Sus scrofa: one gene and its partner. Each later gene encodes a partner of the first gene's protein in a complex. Links are inferred from orthologs where the notes say so. Each region holds a gene or a part of one and is shown on either strand. Other genes may lie near its edges.

The links.
Region 2: EIF3J (region 1) and EIF3E share a complex: the UniProt entries of both Homo sapiens proteins name them as parts of the eukaryotic translation initiation factor 3 (eIF-3) complex. The link is inferred for Sus scrofa from reciprocal best matches to the Homo sapiens genes EIF3J and EIF3E.

What each region holds. Positions count from the first base shown.
Region 1 is NC_010443.5:127,016,147-127,020,525, reverse strand, and holds the start of EIF3J (eukaryotic translation initiation factor 3 subunit J), read left to right. Parts: upstream 1-1,261; 5' UTR 1,262-1,395; coding exon 1,396-1,444; intron 1,445-1,529; coding exon 1,530-1,633; intron 1,634-4,379. UniProt on the Homo sapiens protein: Component of the eukaryotic translation initiation factor 3 (eIF-3) complex, which is required for several steps in the initiation of protein synthesis.
Region 2 is NC_010446.5:29,295,064-29,298,881, reverse strand, and holds part of EIF3E (eukaryotic translation initiation factor 3 subunit E), read right to left. Parts: intron 2,696-3,818; coding exon 2,578-2,695; intron 1-2,577. UniProt on the Homo sapiens protein: Component of the eukaryotic translation initiation factor 3 (eIF-3) complex, which is required for several steps in the initiation of protein synthesis.

The DNA of each region.
Region 1 (4,379 bases):
TTATAAAATGTGGTCTATTTGTAGACTCACTGAAAAAGATACATAAGAAATGGGGAACACTGGTTGCCACCAGAAAGAACATAATGGCTGATCATCCTATATACCCATTTGAATGAATGTTGTACCAAGTACGTATGTTACATATTCAAAACTAAGAAATTAAGAAAACAACAAAAACAAAAATATGTTTAACAGCTCACCTTTTAAAATCCTGAAGTGGAGCTCAGTGGCCCAAGCTAGGTGCAGCTTAGCTCATCTTAAACCCTTTAGTATTATAAATTTATCTTTTCAGCTTATCTCTGATTGCGCCATTCAGTCAGAACAGGGACCACAAGCATAAAAGGCACTGAACACATTTCACTTGGTTGGTCTTTAAAACTCTTTATCGGCCTCACTTACCCTCAGGTAGCCTTTCATATATCCTACCTCTCTTCTCTGCGGTTAATGCTATCCTTTTACACTAAACCTCACAATGCCTTTTTGTTGCAGTCATCTCACTGTGTCGAAATTTGTTTATATGTCTATACTTGAGTGAGCGAGGACAAGGCTAGAGCTTACGCTTAGCGCAGATCGAGTTCCGAAATTATTCTGCGAAAAGAATGAATAATGTATTGACTTCAGGGGGCTCACAGGAAGGAAAAATTCTTGAACATGGGGACTCCCTTCCATATCTTCGTGACTACCTGGAGGCAAACGTGCCAGGAGCTGACTGAACACCCTGACTGGGAAGACTGCCAGGAGCTTGGCCCTCTCTATTCGCTTCTTCCTGGCCGCCCCATGCACCACCGGCTTCCAGAGGGATCCCGCCTCGTTCCGCCAGCGACCGCACCCTCCTGGGGTCGGGGAGCCAGGCGACTGCCGCCACAGGCGGGCTCGGCGTTCAGAGCCCACTTCTGAGTGCCGCGTGGAGAGGCTGCGGGTTTCCTTGGGACCAGCCAGAGGCCAAGGGTGGCGATCCATGTGAACAGAAGGAGGGCGCACCCGACCGGTCCGGGCGGGTATGGGTTAGGATGGCAAGGGCAGGAGAGAGCCAAGCACCGGGAAAAGGACTGCCCTGCTAACTTCGCCGCACTTACATTTTTCTCCCCAGGGCGTAGGGTGGCTGCCTCCTAGCCTCTTCCTCTCTCCCCACCCCACTAGCAGACAGGACCACCCTGCTGGGTGCGTGGGGTACTGGACGCTCCGCCTCGCCCACCGCGTTCCACGCCCCCTTCCCGCCCGCGAGAGCATCGCCGCCGCCGCCGCCGCCAGAGGGGGAGGAGCCTGGGCCCCGGCGTTAAGTCAGCCACAGTCCCAGCCTGCCCCGCGCCGGCAAACGAGAGCAGATCCAGTGACTCACTGCCGCGCTAACTCCTCGCTCGCTGTCGCCTCACACACGCTCATACCCGGCGCGAGATGGCGGCGGCGGCGGCGGCAGCAGCGGCGGGGGACTCCGATTCTTGGGGTGAGGAGAAGTTCCGGGGGTAGGCCGGGGCTGGCGCCAGCCCCACGCCCAAGCAAGCTTTAACACAGCTCGCTCTCTTCCGTAGACGCAGACACGTTCTCCGTGGATGACCCAGTGCGGAAGGTGGGGGGCGGCGGCACCGCCGGCGGGGACCGCTGGGAAGGCGAGGACGAGGACGAGGACGTCAAGGTGGGTGCGGGTCGGGGCTCCGGCCAGCGCGGGAGCGAGCTGGCGCCGTCGCGGGCCGGGGTGCTCGCCGAGGGGCGGTCGGTCGGACGGACTCTGGGCCCAGAGGCGCCGCCCCGGCCTGCGGGCTGTGGGTCTAGGCGCAAGCGTAGGGCCTGGTGGTGCCCTGTTCCCCTCGCTCGCCGGCCCTGGGGGCCGGAGGCCGATAGCGTGGTCTCTCGGATTTCCTTGGCGAGGACGCCAGCCCCATCCCTTTGAAGGACCGCACTCCGGCCTGGATCCCACTCGCCAACTGGCGACGGGAGGTGACAGCAGAGGCTGGACCGGCCCACGTGCAAACTTCGCGGTCCGGAGCTGCTCTTCAGTGGTGAGACTGGGAAGTTGAGGATGGAGCCTCTGGCTTATCCCATATGGAAAGTCTTGCACCCCATTGCTTTTTCGAGCTCAGGTTTCCCCAGGCCAGTAACTCATTTACATCCCAAGCTTCATTTGAAGAGTTTGTTCGAGCTGTTAGAGGAGTGAAATATTATGATTTAATTTCAGCCACCTTTTTTTCCCCCCACGCAAATGAAAGAATTTTTAGCTTCCTTTCTCCCACCCTATGGTAAAAGGGTGAACTGAGTATTGAGATAGCTAGCAGTTAGTGGTCAGAAACCTGGGTAGTCCACACAGCGACCTGAAAAATGGAGAGGTTTACAGAGTGAGTTTTTAATAACCTACACACGAAAGCATAAGGAAATAATGAAGATTTGAAGGTTGGAGAAGACGAGGGAGACAGTGATTTTTTGTGTGTTTTTCCTATGCCTTATAGATTTGAACCCAACTTACTCTCGCTGTTTGTTTATGAAAACTCCTGGGGGCTCATCATAAGACTTCAGATGACATTATGACTACTGCGTTTTGTTTTTGTTTTTGTTTTTGTTTTCAAGTATCTACAGAGTCTCAAGGGTGGAATGTTAAGACTTATTAACTAAGTTCTCAAATACTTCATTTTTGTGAAAATCAAGTTTTGTATGATTTGGAAATTTTTTTTATGGTTTTGATTCATTTGGTGAATGTTTACCCTTCAGCTCACTTTGACAACCCTACAAGTCCTTCTGCTTGTGTTGAAAAAAATTTAAGCTAGATAATCACTATGAGCTTCATATTAATATTGCCTTTTTTAGATTGTACCCTTTTCTCCTGAATCTGATGAGGTGGATGTTCAATTCATTGAATTGCCTGAGGTTCAAGTATGATTTGAGTTTTGCAGACCTTGGGATTAATAAATGAGCAATAGTATTGTGAAGATACTTAGATGCTTCATTTACATGTTGTGTAGACATGAGAATGGATTGTGTTAGCCTCATTGCAAGATACTAGTTACCTCCCTACGTGGTGGCAGATTTTCTGTCTTGAACCTTTAGTTCAGATTTATCCTTTTACTTTTTCTGTGCATAGTGGTTGTAGGAGTTAAGACATCTGTTAAGAAAATTAGGAATGAGTGAGAAGAAACAACTAGAGAAATCAGGAAAGAATTACCAAAATACGAAGTTTGAATAAAGTAGTCTGGATTAATATCATGAGGTAGCGTGCCTGAAATTATTTGATATAAATGCCATCAATCCTGATAAATACAGTTCTAGCCACTTGAAATTAATTTTGGACATTTTTAATTGGTGAGGGACCATAAAGATCATCTTGTCCAGTCATTTTTAAGTGCAGAATTTCTTTCTTTTATACAAATAGCGTACTTCTTTTACAGAAACTTTGATGTAGATCTTGGAATAGAAAGCTGAACTTGTTCATTTTATTTCCATGTTGAAATATTGGTTTATTTCTGTTTAGTTTCTCCAAAGATTTCTAAGATAAGGTATCCATGGAGTAGTTTGATTCCTGGAATTTGGAATCAGACAGACCAGAATCTATGCTGTTGTCTTGACATTTTCTATAAAGAATTTTTAAATTTTTTAAGTTTCCCAGTCTTCACAGAAGCTACCTCAGGAAATTATTTTGCATTTTCTATTTTTTGGGGGGTTTTGTTTTTGTTTTTTGCTTTTTTTAGGGCTGCACCTGCTGCATATGGAGGTTCCCAGACCTTTGTTCCCAGACTAGGGTTCTAATCAGAGCTGTAGCTGCGGGCCTACACCACCACAGCCACAGCAACACCAGATCCCAGCCGAGTCTTCGACCTACACCACAGCTCATAGCAATGCCGGACTCTTAACCCACTGAGCGAGGCCAGGGATTGAACCCACAACCTCATGGTTCCTAGTCAGATTCCTTTCCACTGTGCCACTACGGGAACGGGAACTCCTTTTGCATTTTAAATGAGATAATGTGTCAAGCATTAAGCATAGTTACCTGGCACTTGGTAGGCGTTCAATAAATGTTAATTCCGTCTCACTTGAGGATGTAGTCTTAATTTTTCTGGTTAATGGAAAATTTGTTAAGGCTGTGTAGATCTAGTAGCTGAGGGTTATTTTTGTGCCACAGTTTGTGGTTTATTAAGCTTGAAGGAGTAAGTTCTCTCCACAATGGCTGTTTACTGTGAATTTGTTTTGAATGGAATGACCATGGTTATCAAGCAAGTTTTTGCGTGCTCAGAGGTTACCAATCTAGAGTTGAAATTTGTCACCTTCAATGTTAGTGAGTACAGGTTTTCCCTGCTACCCCCCAAAATAGAGCATTGCTATGAAACCTTTCCTAAGCTAAAAGAAGCAGTTAACCTTAGGACACATCTTGCTAACAGATGCACAAAATAAATCAA
Region 2 (3,818 bases), on another chromosome or scaffold:
AGGAGTTCCCATTGTGGCTCAGTAGTAACGAACCGGACTAGTATCCATGAGGATGTATGTGGGTTTGATTCCTGGCCTTGCTCAGCGGGTAAAGGATCTAGTGTTGCCGTGAGCTATGGTGTCGGTCACAGATGCAGCTTGGATCCCAAGTTGCTGTGGCTGTGGCACAGGCCAGCAGGTGCAGCTCCAATTCAATCCCTAGCCAGGGAACTTCAATATTCAGCAAGTGCAGCCCTAAAAAGCAAACAAACAAACAAACAAACAAAAAAGATCTTGCTGTAGATCATGATGAATAACTTTGTTTGGCATCTCTTATATACTCAGGTATATAATCATTGTCCTCTGGCTGACTGAGTATTTCTGGGAAAGCATGAGGACAACACTATATATTCAATGAAATTTTATTTTATTTTATTTTGCTTCTTAGGGCCACGCCCACATCATATGGAAGCTCCCAGGCTAGGGGTCAAAGAGGAGCTACAGCTGCTGACCTACACCACAGCCACAGCAATGTGGGATCTGAGCCACATCTGCGACCTACACCACAGCTCACGGCAATGCTGGATCCTTAACCCACTGAGCGAGGCCAGGGATTGAACCTGCATCCTCATGGATCCTAGTCGGGTTCGTTAACCACTGAGCCACAAAGGGAACTCCTATTCAATGAAATTTTAAAATGGGGAATCGGCAGGGAGAGGTTACTATTTCAAAAAATGATCAGTTTATAAATTAAATTAGATTACAACTTTTTAACCCGCAATCTACCCTTTCATTTATCTCCAACTCAGTACCTATTAAGCTACAAGGAGTTCTAATATTGGTGAACAAACCTACATTCATCTTATTCATACCCTAATCCTATTACTTCCTAGTGTGTTAGTAACTAAACTTAAAATTTAAACCCTAAATTTTCTGCTGTACCCTAACATCTAGATTATTTCAGCTGTCCCTTTGTGGGCACTTACATGTGACTTAAAGGCCTATAATTACTCATTATATTCTAAGTGTATACAAGCATACGTAGACACACAAGAGATAACTATATACAAGCTATATACATATATATGAAAATACATATAATAGCTTTGTAAGATATAGCTATCTCTGTATATATATGTAGTATATTATAGAATAGTATAGAAAAAGTACAGTTATTTGCTACTTTTCTAAAAAATATCTATTAACACTTTCCCAAATCACGAATGAAAACTTAAGAGTCAATCACTCTAAAAATGTGATTCAGGAGTTCTCTTGTGGTATAGCAGGTTAAGGATCCGGTGTCATTACTGCAGCTGCTTGGGTTGCTGCTGTGGTGTGGGTTTGATCCCTGGCCAGAGGAATTCCACGTGCTGTGGTCACAGCCATAAACAAATAAATAGGTAGATAGATAGATGGGTAGATAGACAGATAGGTAGGTAGGTAGGTAGATAGGGAGGTAGCTAGAGAAAGAAATAAATTTTAAAAATTTGGTTCAATGACTTATCAAGGTGCAATATGGTAAATCTGAACAATTCCTCAAGTGACAATACTGACAGATAAGATTTACTACAATGGCAACATTAAATTTTAGTAGACGATTTTATTTTCCTTTATTTATTTGTCTTTTTAGGGCCACACCTGCAGCAAATGGAGGTTCCCAGGCTAAGGGTCGAATTGGAGCTGTAGCCGCTGGCCTATACCACAGCCATAGCAATGCCAGATCCGAGCCACATCTGCAATCTACACCACAGTTCACGGCAACACCAGATCCTTAACCTATTAAGCGAGGCCAGGGATAGAACCTGTGTCCTCATGGTTACCAGTCAGATTCATTTCCATTAAGCCACAATGGGAACTCCTGATTTTATTTCAATTTTATTTTTAAACATTTTTAAACAACCCAAAGGGCTTCAATTAGTGATATATATTTCCACAGTAAGGTAACACGCTTTCTTTAGAAACCAAACAGTAAGTGTATTTCCAGTTAAGAAGAAGTCAAGAATAAAATACAACCGTATCTATATGTATGGTAGCTCTATACTACCCTCCTTGGGCTAGGCAGGGAAGGATATGAGAGAACATAGCATAGTGATAAAGTGAGTTCAGGTTTCTCTTACAGTGAACAACCCATGTGCTTAGGGCAATACACTCAAATATAACATTTTTCAACCTTAGCACTACCGATATTCTGGGTTGGGTCATTCTTTTGGGGGAGGTGGGGTACAGGCAGATGAACTCTAGGATGTACAGCAGTATCCCTGGACTCTCCTGGTTGGATACCAGTAGCACCTCTCCAGTTGTGACAACTAAAAATGTCTCCAGACACTGGCAAATGGCCCCTGGGAAGGAGGAAGGAGGGTGGAGCTGTTCAACATAATCCAGTTTGTATTAACTGGTAAAGAAGTTATAAAGAATAGTACCAAACATTTATAATTAGGAACTTCCTGGTCCCTACACAATAAGGATAAATGAAAATAAAAGATAAAGCCATTCTTTAAAGCTTGAACTTTTAGGCCACAATAACATAGCACTAATGAATTAACATTTGTATTAATCCAGAAAAAAGAATTTTTAGAATTCAAATAAAGGAGACATTACCTGGTTGATTGCATTTGCCTGGTAGTTTCTGGATCTTCGAACATCTTCACAATTGGTTCTGTTTCTGCCTGTAGCTGTTTCAGTTGTGCAACAACAGTGGTCCTTTTTTCTCTCAAAGCTAATTAGAAACACAAATGAGTACTACAGTGTTAAACCATACTGCTCACTGTGAGGGTACCGCTGGAAATTTTTCAACCTATCTAAATTGTGCATATATTTATTCATTTCTCCCCAACATATTTACAGGCCAGGAATCACCCACTCAGTAACTATCCCAAATCCAATTTCCTCTACCTAACACTACAAAGGCACATAAAGGAAAAGAGAATCCTTTTTTTTTTTTTTTTTTTTTAAATTCTTTAAGAAAAGTGAGGAATATGCACTGGGGGAAGAAACTGTCATAGGAACAATTATTTAACTCTACATTTCAGAGACTTCATTCTTAGTGTTTTTAAATTCACTGTCACTGAATTCTCTCACTGAATTTGTTGTCACTGAATATTATCCTAGAATATTTTTTTTTTTTGGTCACACCCACAGCATAGAAGTTTCTGGGCCAGGGACTGAACCCTACAACTGGAACACCTGAGCCACAGCGGTGACAAGGCCAGATGAGCCTTAAGGGAACTCCCGTAATTCTCTAATTTGAGTGCTAGTTTTCAGCCAACAGTTTTTGATTAAGTAGACCTGGGATATGGCCTTAGAATCTGCATTCCTAACAAGCTCTCCCAGGTGAGCAGGTAATGCTGGTTCTGGGGCCACACGTTTTAGAATCAGGACTAATACCAATGCCCTTTTTTTTCTTTTTCTTTTTTGGCCACACCCAAGGCATATGGAAGTTCCTGAGCCAGGGATCAAATACGAATCACAGCTGCAACCTAGGCCACAGCAATATCAAATCCTTAACTTTTATACCCAGATGCTTTAAGACAAAATAAAAGAGGGATCTCTAAGGCATACAAGATACTAACTAAGAGTTAGCAAGCCAAACACCTGCAACATTCTCAGATAATTCTAAGGAAACAATTTGATCCATAAGCACAATTTGATCCATAAGCACAACTTCGATGACCATGTTTCAAAGTAGTTTCACACCTTTTATGGTGAGAAAATAATACTTTCAAAGACCTGTAATCTTCGTATTACCTTTCATCCAAAGAACCTTTAAATCATTCAAATAATTACTAAGACTTTTGGCTAAAACACTTAGAAATCACAAAACTTTTTTTTGGCCTCCGTCC